Nothobranchius furzeri: one gene and its partners. The protein of the gene in region 3 purifies or fractionates together with the protein of the main gene of each other region. This does not show direct contact. Links are inferred from orthologs where the notes say so. Each region holds a gene or a part of one and is shown on either strand. Other genes may lie near its edges.

The links.
Region 1: the proteins of sigmar1 (region 3) and npc1 purify together in Homo sapiens (affinity purification with mass spectrometry; 3 studies listed by BioGRID and IntAct, with this or other methods). This does not show direct contact. The link is inferred for Nothobranchius furzeri from reciprocal best matches to the Homo sapiens genes SIGMAR1 and NPC1.
Region 2: the proteins of sigmar1 (region 3) and rnf185 purify together in Homo sapiens (affinity purification with mass spectrometry; 3 studies listed by BioGRID and IntAct, with this or other methods). This does not show direct contact. The link is inferred for Nothobranchius furzeri from reciprocal best matches to the Homo sapiens genes SIGMAR1 and RNF185.

What each region holds. Positions count from the first base shown.
Region 1 is NC_091751.1:48,786,605-48,790,215, reverse strand, and holds part of npc1 (NPC intracellular cholesterol transporter 1), read right to left. Parts: intron 3,193-3,611; coding exon 3,065-3,192; intron 234-3,064; coding exon 99-233; intron 18-98; coding exon 1-17. UniProt on the Homo sapiens protein: Intracellular cholesterol transporter which acts in concert with NPC2 and plays an important role in the egress of cholesterol from the endosomal/lysosomal compartment.
Region 2 is NC_091746.1:52,069,714-52,074,041, reverse strand, and holds the start of rnf185 (E3 ubiquitin-protein ligase RNF185), read left to right. Parts: upstream 1-1,429; 5' UTR 1,430-1,523; exon of another isoform or gene 1,524-1,792; 5' UTR 1,793-1,853; coding exon 1,854-2,038; intron 2,039-2,877; coding exon 2,878-2,896; intron 2,897-2,984; coding exon 2,985-3,097; intron 3,098-3,222; coding exon 3,223-3,277; intron 3,278-3,592; coding exon 3,593-3,710; intron 3,711-3,794; coding exon 3,795-3,892; 3' UTR 3,893-4,328. UniProt on the Homo sapiens protein: E3 ubiquitin-protein ligase that regulates selective mitochondrial autophagy by mediating 'Lys-63'-linked polyubiquitination of BNIP1.
Region 3 is NC_091746.1:43,713,271-43,717,599, reverse strand, and holds the start of sigmar1 (sigma non-opioid intracellular receptor 1), read left to right. Parts: upstream 1-1,419; 5' UTR 1,420-1,587; coding exon 1,588-1,732; intron 1,733-1,861; coding exon 1,862-1,913; intron 1,914-3,038; coding exon 3,039-3,187; intron 3,188-3,372; coding exon 3,373-3,465; intron 3,466-3,562; coding exon 3,563-3,792; 3' UTR 3,793-4,329. Other genes in the region: galt (galactose-1-phosphate uridylyltransferase), read right to left, coding at 1-90, 1,063-1,099. UniProt on the Homo sapiens protein: Functions in lipid transport from the endoplasmic reticulum and is involved in a wide array of cellular functions probably through regulation of the biogenesis of lipid microdomains at the plasma membrane.

The DNA of each region.
Region 1 (3,611 bases), on a different chromosome or scaffold from region 3:
CCCACAAACACCGCCACCTGTGGACAAAAGTGTCAGCTGATCAGAAACACTGATTTGGTTTATTCACATGGCTGCTAAAGCAGGACTGGTTCACTCACGACGACGGGTCGAACCCACTCCTTCAGGATGAACGGAGCGTAGACTTTCTTGAAAAACCGGAAGAGGAAGCCATCCGTCTTGACTTCGTAACGTTCAGGCAGCTTCACACACCAGCAGACGTCTAGCCGGTTCTCCTTTAAAACACAACCCACCGCACAATGTTCAACAAGTATAAACATTGTCCTCACGCTACAACGACAACCAGCTGTGATCAGGTAGATAAATAAATAAATGAATAAAATCCAAGAGGGCCAAGCAGGTTTCTAGTGTCCACGTTAAAAGCTCTCATTCACCCATTTTTATTAACAAACCTGATGTGGGCTCAAGTATGAATGAATGAATGAATGAATGAATGCTTTGTGAGTCGTTTTGACTTTGGTGCTCCAGTTTCAGGAAGTAGAAGTTATTTGGAGTAAGTTTGGATGGAAAACGGCAGGATTTTGATTCAAAATATGCAAACATCTCACCTCTGATTGGCTAAAAGCAAGTAGCTCTTCCGTTGAAGTTGTTTGATTTTCTTTTATGCGTAACTCTTTCAAAATGTTGTGGAATTGCTAATGCTAATGGTTAGCTTCTACTAACCCAAACACACTCTGCTCTCATTTCCACGATCACAAGCCACAGTGGGCGACGCCATGAATGAAAAATTTCTCTTGAGCTGTGTGGCTTTTCTAACTCAGTGGTTCTGCTTTATAAATCACACCTGTCTTAGAAATGTGCTCACGTGCAACCATGACAACCAAGAAAGATTTCCACGGTCTGGGGTGTCGCTTATACATGGAAAAAGTGTTTTATTCCCTCTAATTTCCCTCTGGGGTTAAAAAAGTATCTTTGATTTGATTTAGCGACACCGCGCTGCTACAGCGGAACTTTGGAGCCACGGAGCGATCAGCGGATGCCAATAAATAAAAATATTTAAAGAAGTGGTCAGATGGAGCTTAAGATGGCAACAATCATTGACATCATCAATAAAAGCAGCACTATGGTGCATAGGGAGGGGTCACTGTCTTTTCCAGATCCAAGTGGAACATTTAAGGAAAACATTTAATTTAGCCCAAAGGGCTCTAGGCAGGAAATATTGAACAAATATCAGCTGATACCTGCTGGAACGAACTGGTGTTGTCAGAACTCCTGTTTATGGAAACTCCGACAGCTGCACCTCTGCCCGGTTCACTACAGTGACGTTTTAAATTATAGTGTGAATCACAGGTGTGCGGTCACGTACGACACAATTAATGCACCAATAAGTTATTTAACGACACATGAAAGTAATGTATTTTAATCACTGATATAATTTTTATTCTCAATTCAGAGATGGAGGGGGTCTTCTTTTTGGTTTTGTGTGTGCGTGCGAAAGGCCTGACCACTTCTGTTCACTGGACGTGAAGGTGGCATCTAACGTAATAGAGGCGTTTTACCCATGAGCTCATTCCCAACTGGGAGCGTTTCAGATGTGAAACGAGAGCGAAAGCGTTCCACAAAGCTGGCGTCACAAAATCACATGAGAATTGCAACACCACGCGTGATTTCAGAAGTTCACCCACAATAAAAAGCAAGGAGAAAGACAGCTGCATGCATCAAAAAGGTCTGGTTTATTTTCTGCTCTGTTTACATCGGCTACGGGGGTTTAAACAGAAAATGACGTAAGTTTACCTGCATGTGACTTTTATTTTGAAAGTTTCTGGATGTTTTGCACAGCTTTTGTGTTTGACATCCAGTCTGGTGTAACCTACACTGTGGAGTTTGACGTGTTTTGTAAATAGACTCGAAACATAATGATGTGTCCCTTCGCTTCTGGGGCGCGTCCAAAACGTCATCATTTGGTGTCGGTGGAAAGGAACGCATTCACTAGAACGGCGGCTAATTTCTGCGTAGTACATTCCGTGTATGATTTGCGATGCTTTAAAGGTTGAATATGGAGCATGGACACTATAGCGACATCTAGTGTTAGGAGGTAGTAGTGCAACAACAGAACACATTTACCAGCTGTTAGGGTATTGGTTCACTGCTGACACGTGACCAGCCAGGACCATGTCCAGTGATGAATCGTACAGGGTAAAGACTTATTTCTACTAATATGTTAACTTTGTAACACTATTTACCGTTAGAACATCTTCTGGGCTCAGAATCAGCTGTTTGGCCCGCCATTATACACAGTCCCAGCCTGCCTTGCCAAGCCAACTTTTTACTGCAACGCTGCCCCCTGTTGACTGGTAGATGTAAGCATAAACCTAGTGTTGTGCCCCTCAAAATAACATTTTTATTATTATTTTTTTAAATATACCTTTTAAAGCAGAAACTGGACATTCTACACACCTCTAAATGCCACGTCGTGGTATTTTTTTAAATATAGCATTTTATCAAAATATTCCATATTCCAACTTTAACTTGGAAGTGGAAAGAAGGGGTGAAAAAAAAAAACATTTTACCATCTCACTATCTCCCAAATGTGCTCCTGCCGGGTCAAAAGTTTGCTTAAAGTTAAGCACATCTTTCCATCAAGTTTTTTTTTCAAAGAACAGAAAGTTTGCATGGAAAATCACGCAGTTTTCAGACCCCATTTTGTTCATAAGCAAGCTTTATAATCAGGCCCCAGGTGAAGATACAGCAGAGCAGGATTATTGTGTTGAGTTCAGATGTGGAAAAAACAGTGTTTGGTGTCACCTTGATGAGGAGGACTGCAGCAGAGCATCGTAATACGGAGCAGCAGGGGTGACAAGGTGTTGGAAGTTTATAATCATCACCACGACTGCCTGTGGATGTCATCAGAGCTGACCGTCTGAGAATATTTTAAATAGATATTGTTGCCTGTTCTTATTGTAGAAATTATTTGATAGGGAAAAGATTTTTTTCTTGTGTAGTGCATGTTATTTATACTCCTAAATTAACACAAAGTTATTAAGAGGTGATAACAGTTCGATCTTATGCTGAATAATCCCACTGAGTGTCCCTGCCTCCATCTCACCTCCTGTCTTTTGGCATCCATGCCGAGCAAACTGACAAAGCAGCTGATCTGCAACAGGAAATCAATAAAAACGGCCAAGCCAGCAAACAGGGAGAATGTCCTCACTGCAGGCATGTTGGACAAGGCACCTGGAAGATAAAAATAAAGAAGTACATCAGCTTCTGGCTCAGCAGAAAACAGCAGGTCGTTCATCTGCCAGATGTGTGAATTCTCCCTGTAAATAATTATAAATAAAGCTTTAAACCAAAATTCTGACTGTTGCATGAATGCACAACATTCTGCTGCTGATTGCTCTGCAACGTGTTGTTATAAACAGCATGTTTTTAATTATATCAGTGCACACCTGCTGTGACAGGGAAGAGGAAGTGATCCAACCTGCGTGTGAGTTTATTTAAAGAGGAAAACATCAGAAATGACCAATGATACTGAAAAAATTTCACCACTTGTATTTTCTTCTCTTTGTTTAAATGGACTCACTTACCTGAATATTATTGTTATCAAAGGTTCAAGCTGTGTGCTTTAACAACAACTCCTGATGATTAACAGG
Region 2 (4,328 bases), about 8.4 Mb from region 3:
TATTTATAATTAATGTTATAAATCGTAAATTAATAATTTACTAACAAAAATAGATTGTGCCTTTGATTTGTGTATCTGTTTTCATAGAAATAGAAAAGAAACAACCAACTGTGATTGCTGTTGCTTTATGGGTGCGATGGATCAGCAAAAATTACTTTTTAGACATAGTGTCGAAATAAAATTTGTGATTTTTTAAAAATAAGCCTTACCTACAATAAACATTTACAATGATGAAATTTAACTCATAGAAAAAAATTAAAAAATACCAAATATGGGTTGTGCCTATACGTGAGGATTTATTTTTCTCAGCTTTGGGATTTGTGTAACATCTTTCATGAAAATAACTTGGTTTTTGCTTAGAAACAATACTGACATATTTAAAATAGTCAATAAACATGAATTTTAAAAATTAAAAACTAAGTTAAATAGAATATGCAAAATTCTGAGTTTAAGGTGCACATCAGTTTCTGCTCAAAATGGGTTAAATCATTCCAGAATATCCAAAAGAAATTCTCAAAAAAGCTGATTTAAAGTTTCATTCTTGATACGACAAAAGGAGCAAAGAAGGTAAAACCCTTATTTGTTTTATTTAAATTTTATGACTGAATTAACAATATACCATCTAGCAACTAGGGCTGCATGATAGAATAGATTGCGATATCGGCATGTGCAAAACACGTATCACAATGAACAGAAAACATCACAATAAATGGTCAGCTCAAATGCTTGCTACACATAATGCATTTTGTCAATCAAACAGAAGCATATGTTTTTGACAGATCAAATAGAGCCTTACCTATTTGGCATATCGGGTGGATTCTATAGGTTAGATGCCTGCCCCCTAGGCGGACGACACTTGACTTTGATGGCTAACATACAAGTTAGCTTTGTTTTGCTCTTTCTGCTGATTTAGCTTTTCCCAGGATCTACTGATTGCCTTGTCTTATTAGTTGTCTTTTCCTTTTTCCTCACATCTTTTGATCACAATTTTTGCTTTGCCCATTTTCTATATTTTTCTATTTCGTTGTATTTTTTATTTTTATTTATTTATTTTTGTTTATTTCTAGTCATATCATCATGGAGATATTAATCGCTGTTATCGCGCATTGCAGGTTTTCCTAATATCGTGCAACAGTACTAGCTACATGTTTCTGGGATACCCCCGTATGTACAGTCTATGGATACCCCTCAGACAAACATTATCTTGGCGCATAAGCAAAAAATCACTCTTATAGAAGGAATTAAACATCAGTCTACAACCAACTTCTTCACAAACCTATGTCAGAAACAATAAATTCCATAATTATGAGAAGACATTGTTTGTGCAACATTCTCCATCACAAGAGTAACTATTAGTAAGTTTTTTGTTTTTGTGTATCTACTTTTCTTTACGTCACTAATCCGGACACAAGGTAACCCCACCCCCTTTAGAAATAGCCACGCCTTTTAAAGAAACAGCCACGTTTTTTTTTAGTCCTACTCTTTTTTAGGGCTAACACCCTGCGGAAGTGTTGCAACCAGCTGTAAGGCTATTTTCGCAACAAGTCATAATTAAGTTTTAATGAGGCTATGTTACAAAATGTATGTTGAAATATTCCTTTAGCCACTGTAATAATTGTATATGTGGTTCGGTTTACGCCTCAGTTCGTTTAGCCTTTCTCCTAGCTTGCTAGCTGCTAACGGTAGCATAGCTATCAGATGACACAAAGTTAGCTTTTCCTTTCTTTTATTCAGGTTTCTTAGTGGGAGACCACTTCTGTCAGTTCCTGTCACTTTCTTATGTGTTTGACAGGAACGAACAGAGCCATCCCAACCGTATTAGCTTGAATATTGGACCGACTTTTAGCAAATAAATGGCCGCCGCTGCCCCCTCTCCACCAGTCTCTGGCTCCACCGTCTCGGCTCCTGAAAACTCCGGCCCGGGATCCAGTAGCTCGGCAGCGGCCGACGGAGGCAGCCAGGACAGCACCTTTGAATGCAACATATGCCTGGACACAGCGAAGGATGCCGTGATCAGCTTGTGTGGCCACCTTTTCTGGTAAGATTTAAATATGTTACTTATGTTTACATTGTGAAATCAGAAACCACCTCAGTTTTAGCGGCTGGACACAAGTGAACTAAACTCAGCAGTACAGCATGAACCAAAATGTTGTCTCCGGTTTTACCACTTCAATTAAACTGTGCGGAAAAAACAGTTTTAAGTTCTACCAGGTCTGTCTAAGAAGAAAGTATCATTTCTATAGCGCCTCTCAAGATAAAAATCACGAGGCGCCTATGAGCCATTTATATTCCTAACATCAATAATAAAAATACTTATTTCACAGTTTGCTTCAGCAAAAATGTTTGAAGATTGCACGAGAATACAGTTTCACTATTGTTTTTAGTGTTTTTCATTTTATATGACTAATCAGAAAAAGTTTACATTTTTTTAAAGTTCTGGAACATCTAATTAATCCTCTTATTTTGTCAAATAAAGTGGCAGTTGCCAATTTACTAGCTGATTAGGTAACTTATCTGTTTTCTTTTAGCTGATGTTTTTGTGAAATCCTTGAATCTCTTTCAAAACAACATTTTAGTCATTTTTATGTCCAAAAATTTGCTGATGAATTAGCAGCCAAAGTGGTCTGATCAGTGTTCATACAAAGTAATTATTTGTTAATTTTCTCTTAAATGTTATCCAGTATGTTTGAATTAGTATGAAATATTCAAGTAGAATTAGTGTTTATTTTTATTGTCCTTAATTGGGGTTTTTTTGACAAGCAGTTTATCTAATGTTTGTTTTCATGAATATTTTCCAATGTGGTTTTTTTTTTTTTACTAATCCTGTTTTTTTTTTTTTTTTCACTTCCATGAACTTCATTTGCTCCTGATGTTCAGCTGGCCATGTTTGCATCAGGTAAGCCTGACTTAGATTTTTTTTCATTTACAAAGATGTTCCCCTAGCTAACCCGTTGACTCGTTAACATCCGTTTATCTTCATGCAGTGGTTGGAGACTCGACCCAACAGACAAGTGTGTCCGGTGTGTAAAGCTGGCATCAGCCGGGACAAAGTAATCCCCTTGTATGGGAGGGGAAGCACGGGTCAACAGGATCCTAGGTAGATGCTAAAAAGTGTTGACATGATTTATTGTGTCATCACACTTCTACATTAACACACTTGTGGTGCAAGAATTATCATTATGTTAGTGTTTTACGGTGTATATCTGATTTGATGCTTCAAAGGGAAAGGACGCCCCCTCGACCACAAGGACAGAGACCAGAGCCGGAAAACCGTGGTGTAAGTACACAAACAAATACATCTGCACAGTTAAACCATCATTGTGAATAACTACATTAAGTTTCGTGTAAGCTCTAGAGTATTATAATGAGCTCATGATGAAACCGTGAGTCAAAAATGATGTAGGTGCTGCCGTTTAGACCTGTTTTATTCATGACTGAAAAGCCATTTCCCTCTGGGACCCATTACTAGTGAACAGCTGAGATAAAGCCCCTCATGAGAATCACTACAACTTTTACTGCTCATTGTGTCACACTTTTTTTTTCTTACTTTGTTATATGACACGTTTTCATTTTTTTCTAAAAATCCCTGCAGGGATTTCAGGGATTTGGCTTCGGAGATGGAGGTTTCCAGATGTCCTTTGGAATCGGTGCCTTCCCGTTCGGTATTTTTGCCACGGCTTTTAACATCAATGATGGACGACCTCCTCCAGGTGGTTACACATTTCCTCTGTGTTCTTTCATTTCTTATGAAAACAATTTACCCAGTAACTTCTGTTGAACTTTCACCCACACAGCAGCTCCTGGGACGCCGCAGCACACAGATGAACAGTTCCTGTCTCGACTCTTTCTGTTTGCTGCTCTGGTCATTATGTTTTGGCTGCTGATTGCATAAATGCATGGGGGGAAATGACAGAAGTGCGGCTTTGTGAGGTTTCCGTCTCTTAATCTTTGGCAAAGTTTGGACATTTAAACAGCAGGTATGATAAATGAACAGGCTAAAGGTTAAAGCTGCAGACTTTTTGCTGCTCCGAAGGAAAAAATGCATGTGAAGATCGGGAAGTTGTGTATTCTCTTCACTTCTTGCTGCAAAAATCTCAGAAATGAATTAATGAAAAAAATATATATTTTGACTCACTGGTTGAATAACTACTTTGTAATCTGCACAAGAGCAACCAGACACTGACTTGTGAATCTTCAGCTATTTATTGTGAAGCAAAAATAATTTTTTGCACAAAACTTTAATGCAACTTAATGATTCTAATGATTAAGATGTTTGTTTCCTGGAGAAATGACCAATAATACCTTTGTGTTTTTGGCCAATAGCAGCT
Region 3 (4,329 bases):
CCATCTGACCAGCCCAGGGTCTCTTCATCCGGTGGGCCGAGACCAGGACCCAGCTGTCTCGCAGTGGGTTGTAACGCAGATGCTGGTGCTCTGGTGTTTACAGGACATGGAGTATCACCAAAAAAGATGTTAAAAACATTGCTAGGGCTTTTTATTTCTTTGTCTTTTTTTCCTTGTGTAAAATCCCATCATAAAGTATTCTTCAATTATCAGTGAGCTTCGTTTTAACAACACTAATGTTTCATATCAGACGCTTTAGGATTCCTACTTTTCACAAGACAGGTGACCCATTCAAATCAGATGTTATGAAGCCAAGGAGCCTCTAAAAAGGGCAGAAGAGTGTAATATTTGAGTAAAAATTACAAAACATCTCTTTTTGTTAAACAGTTTTTTTATTATTTGGTGCAAAAAGCAGAAAGTTGGTATCAACTTTTGATCATCATGCACACAGCCCCACTACATTGTCATTGGACATTGTCATTGTCCAATCTTGGTCCTACAAGGACCACAAGGACCACCATCCTGCATATTTTAGGAGTTTCATGGCTTCATAACATCTGATTTCAATGGATGGATAATTAGCAGGCCTTTGCACAATTTGATGACAAACAACAGTAGCATCAACCACTTAGGGTGTGCTGGAGCAGGGAAGCTAAAGCAAGCTTGGTACTGCCAAAGTTTACTGAATAGTCAGCAAACCCTTACCGTCTTTGGTATTCTGACTTATCGTACCTCACTTCAATTATTGTCATCTCTCAACATTACTAAGCCAATAAGAAATAAACTACAAAGAAAGCATCAAAATGACGCTGAAGTACTAGCGTGGCTACAAGTGCAGCTGTAAACTCAGCAGGAATTCAGATCACATGATTCACAGCTGGATATTTACAGGAAAATAAACGGCAGGTTTCAGCTATGAATAATTCAACCTAAATTTCACAAACTTGCATAAATAACAAGAGTACGTTTGGAAATGCAACAACTGTAAACCTGTTTTTAAACCTAATTTCTTTCAGAAAGAATAAAGTGAACTGCTACAAAAAGAAAAGGAGACACACGTACCGCTGGGGTCGAAACTAACACTCTGGTAGCCACTCATGATACGGTACTATTTAAAACCTGTAAGTTAAATCAAGTAAGCATCAGCTGGTTCCGAATGTCGATGGTTCCGAACTTTAGCTCAACTGATACCCTTAGCCCACTTCCTGTTGTCGGACGAAAGACAAAACATGCCATTCGTGTCTAATCAGGATTTTAGAATAAGCTTTTAAAAACAGATATAAATTACTAAGTTTTAATGTATATTACTTACTATGTTTTAATGCATTTTACATAATATTTATTAAATATACTTAATAAGAATAACGTCAAATATAAACTTTAATTGAATTATTTTCCAGATTTTAGTGTGTACTGGCAACCCGACAGCCGCTAATATATTCAACAAACAAAGTCCGTGATTGGCTGATCGGCGGTCCTCATGACCACGTGACCAGAAACATCTCCTAGTTTAGCAACCTGCTTCTGTTCTGCCTCGTTTAATTCATGTAGCTAAACTTGCTGCTAGGTGTTCGTTTGTCTGTAGCCATGTCGTTTGTCAGAGCGATTTTAAGACTATTTGCAGTCGCTACAGTCGCCGTCCTGGTCGTGCTGTTGCTACGGTACTGGATGGCCACCAAGACGTATGTTTTCAACAAAGAAGACATCGCCAAGTTGGCGAAGCAATACGCGGGTGAGTTTGGAAGTTTGACGTTTTTGTAGACCACTCGTGCTCTAGTAGTCTAATGATCAATTTACTTTTCCTAAAATTGTTTTCAGCTCACTTTCGTCAGTGTCTTCATTCAATTGTGTTTATTCCCAGGGCAAGACCATGAGCAGGCGTTCTCCAAAGTGGTATTGGAGCTCAGAAAGAGGTGATTTTGCTTCAGCATGTTTTCAGACACAAACCAAGGTGATCCGGAAAAAATACTTGTTGTTTTAGTCAGAATAAGAATAATAGACTAATTTTAGCCATTTTCTAACTAGTTCATCATATTGGGCTCTCCACTGCTAAACTTACGACTGTGCATGCGTTGATTATAAGTTAAATCGTTTCATTTTCACCTATACTTTTAATGTGTCGAAAGGCCGTACAATCAGTTCGTTCACGTTGAACACTACTGTATTGTGCAAGTTCACACTTTGAAGAAGCCAGGTCAGCAGTTCACAGATGTTTGTGTTCATAGTTCATCCAGAACACGTTCTGAACTAAATGCAATGTTCCGAAATGAATCCTTATTCATTTACCAGTAATAAGATAAATTAGATTTAAAATACATTCAGAAAGATGGCATGCATTTGGATTATGGTATTCTATCGGCTATTTAATCATAATAATAGTAATAAAACTATAACAAAGTATATGTATTTGTTTAGGGTTTTTTTCTTCCATCTGTAATAGGTGCAATTCTAAAAGTCAGGAATCAGATCAGACTCTTGCGTAGAGATTAAGTTCCTGGTGCCTCGTTTAAACTAGAGCCATGTCCAAGATTAAACGTGTGGCTCCAGATCAGATTCTGCTGCAGAGAAAAAATAAAAGACTGGTGAAGAAAGCTGAAGGATTATAATCTAGATGCTTCTCTCGGGTTATTAGTCCTGAACATAACAGCATCATAAGGCATCCAAATCTTCAATAAAACAGCTCTCACACTGGTTTCAGTTTTTGTTGTGGGGGAAAATAAAAATGTTCAGAAATGTTCTAGTGAACGCAGCTCATTAAGACTACAGTCTTCTAACCAAACCTCCATTCATGCATACTTGTGCTGTTAGTTCAGCTATAATTTTCAGGTAAGTCAGAATTGCTGCAGTCTTCCTAAGTTTTTGTTTTTTCTCCAGACTGCCACCACAGACAAGTCCCCACACGCTTAGGAGCCCTCAGATGCTTGATTGCATTTATTTGAATGCCCGTTGGTGCACTCCACTGATCTCTATGATAAGTTTTTTTTTTTTCATATAGAAACAAGGATGCATTGATGACTAATAAGTCGTATCTAAACCAGGTATCCAGGCCACATTCTGCCTGATGAAGACTTGCAGTGGGTGTTTGTGAATGCTGGAGGATGGATGGGCTCCATGTGTCTCCTCCATGCCTCGCTCACTGAGTATTTACTACTGTTTGGTACTGCTGTGGACACAGGAGGACACTCAGGTACAGGAGGATCATATATTTGTGAATGAACTCACTAATTTTAAAGCCGGCACTCAAACTTTTTATTCATTCAGATTTTTATATGATGGAAACAAGCCCTTTGATACAACTGAGGGTCTAGAAATAAATTTCTTTTACTAAATTTAGTAAAATTGACTCGTGTCCTCTCCCCCTGGTTCTTCCAGGTCGATATTGGGCTGAAATATCTGACACTATCATCTCCGGCACATTCCGGCAGTGGAAGGAGGGGACTACTAAGAGTGAAATCTACTATCCAGGTAGTAAAGTAACTCGTTTTAACATGTAGTTGTCCATTTTTATATTAATTATTTGTTTTTTAATCAGTGTGTTTTTGTCTCCCTCTTACTTCCACAGGTGACTTCATTGTTCATGAAGTGGGAGAAGCTACATCAGTCCAGTGGAGCGCTGGGACTTGGATGGTGGAGTACGGAAGAGGTTTCATTCCCTCGACTCTTGGCTTTGCTCTTGCAGACACTCTGTTCAGCACCCAGGACTTTGTCACCATGTTCCACACCATACATATTTACACAAAGGCTCTGCTGCTCGAGGCCGCTACGCTCCTCACAGAGGCTGGAGTTTTCTGAAGGCTGGTGGAGGACCAGAGGCTCGCACATGGACTCAAAAGCTCCTCCTCGACTAAAATCTGGAACGAGGAGACACTCCACCTGTAGTTCAGACAATCATATTAGCAGCTAATGTTGTCCTCATTAAAAATCTGTCCTCTGTAAAGGAGGAACACAGTTCTTGTCTCAACAGGAGCGGTGAGAATTCAAACAGGTTTATCTAATTTATACAAATCACAGACGTCCAACTTTTCATTCAGGTTCAAAACCCCAGAGGTTAGCAATGAGACTGTGCACTTTACTTTGCTCAGTAAGTATTCTGAGGGCTTAGACTGCCTCCATAGTCACCAAGGTCTTCAATGTATTTAAAAAAATAATACACCTGATATTAGAATCTGGCTTAAAATAAATACCCTAGGCCTTACAGCTTCTGTGGTCAGTGTGAGATTATTCTGAGAATAACTTGGTTTATGCAACCAAAGGTGGAAACATGTTAGTTTTCAGCAACTTTCACAAGAAAATGCAATGCAAATGCTGTAAACATTGATTTAATAAAAA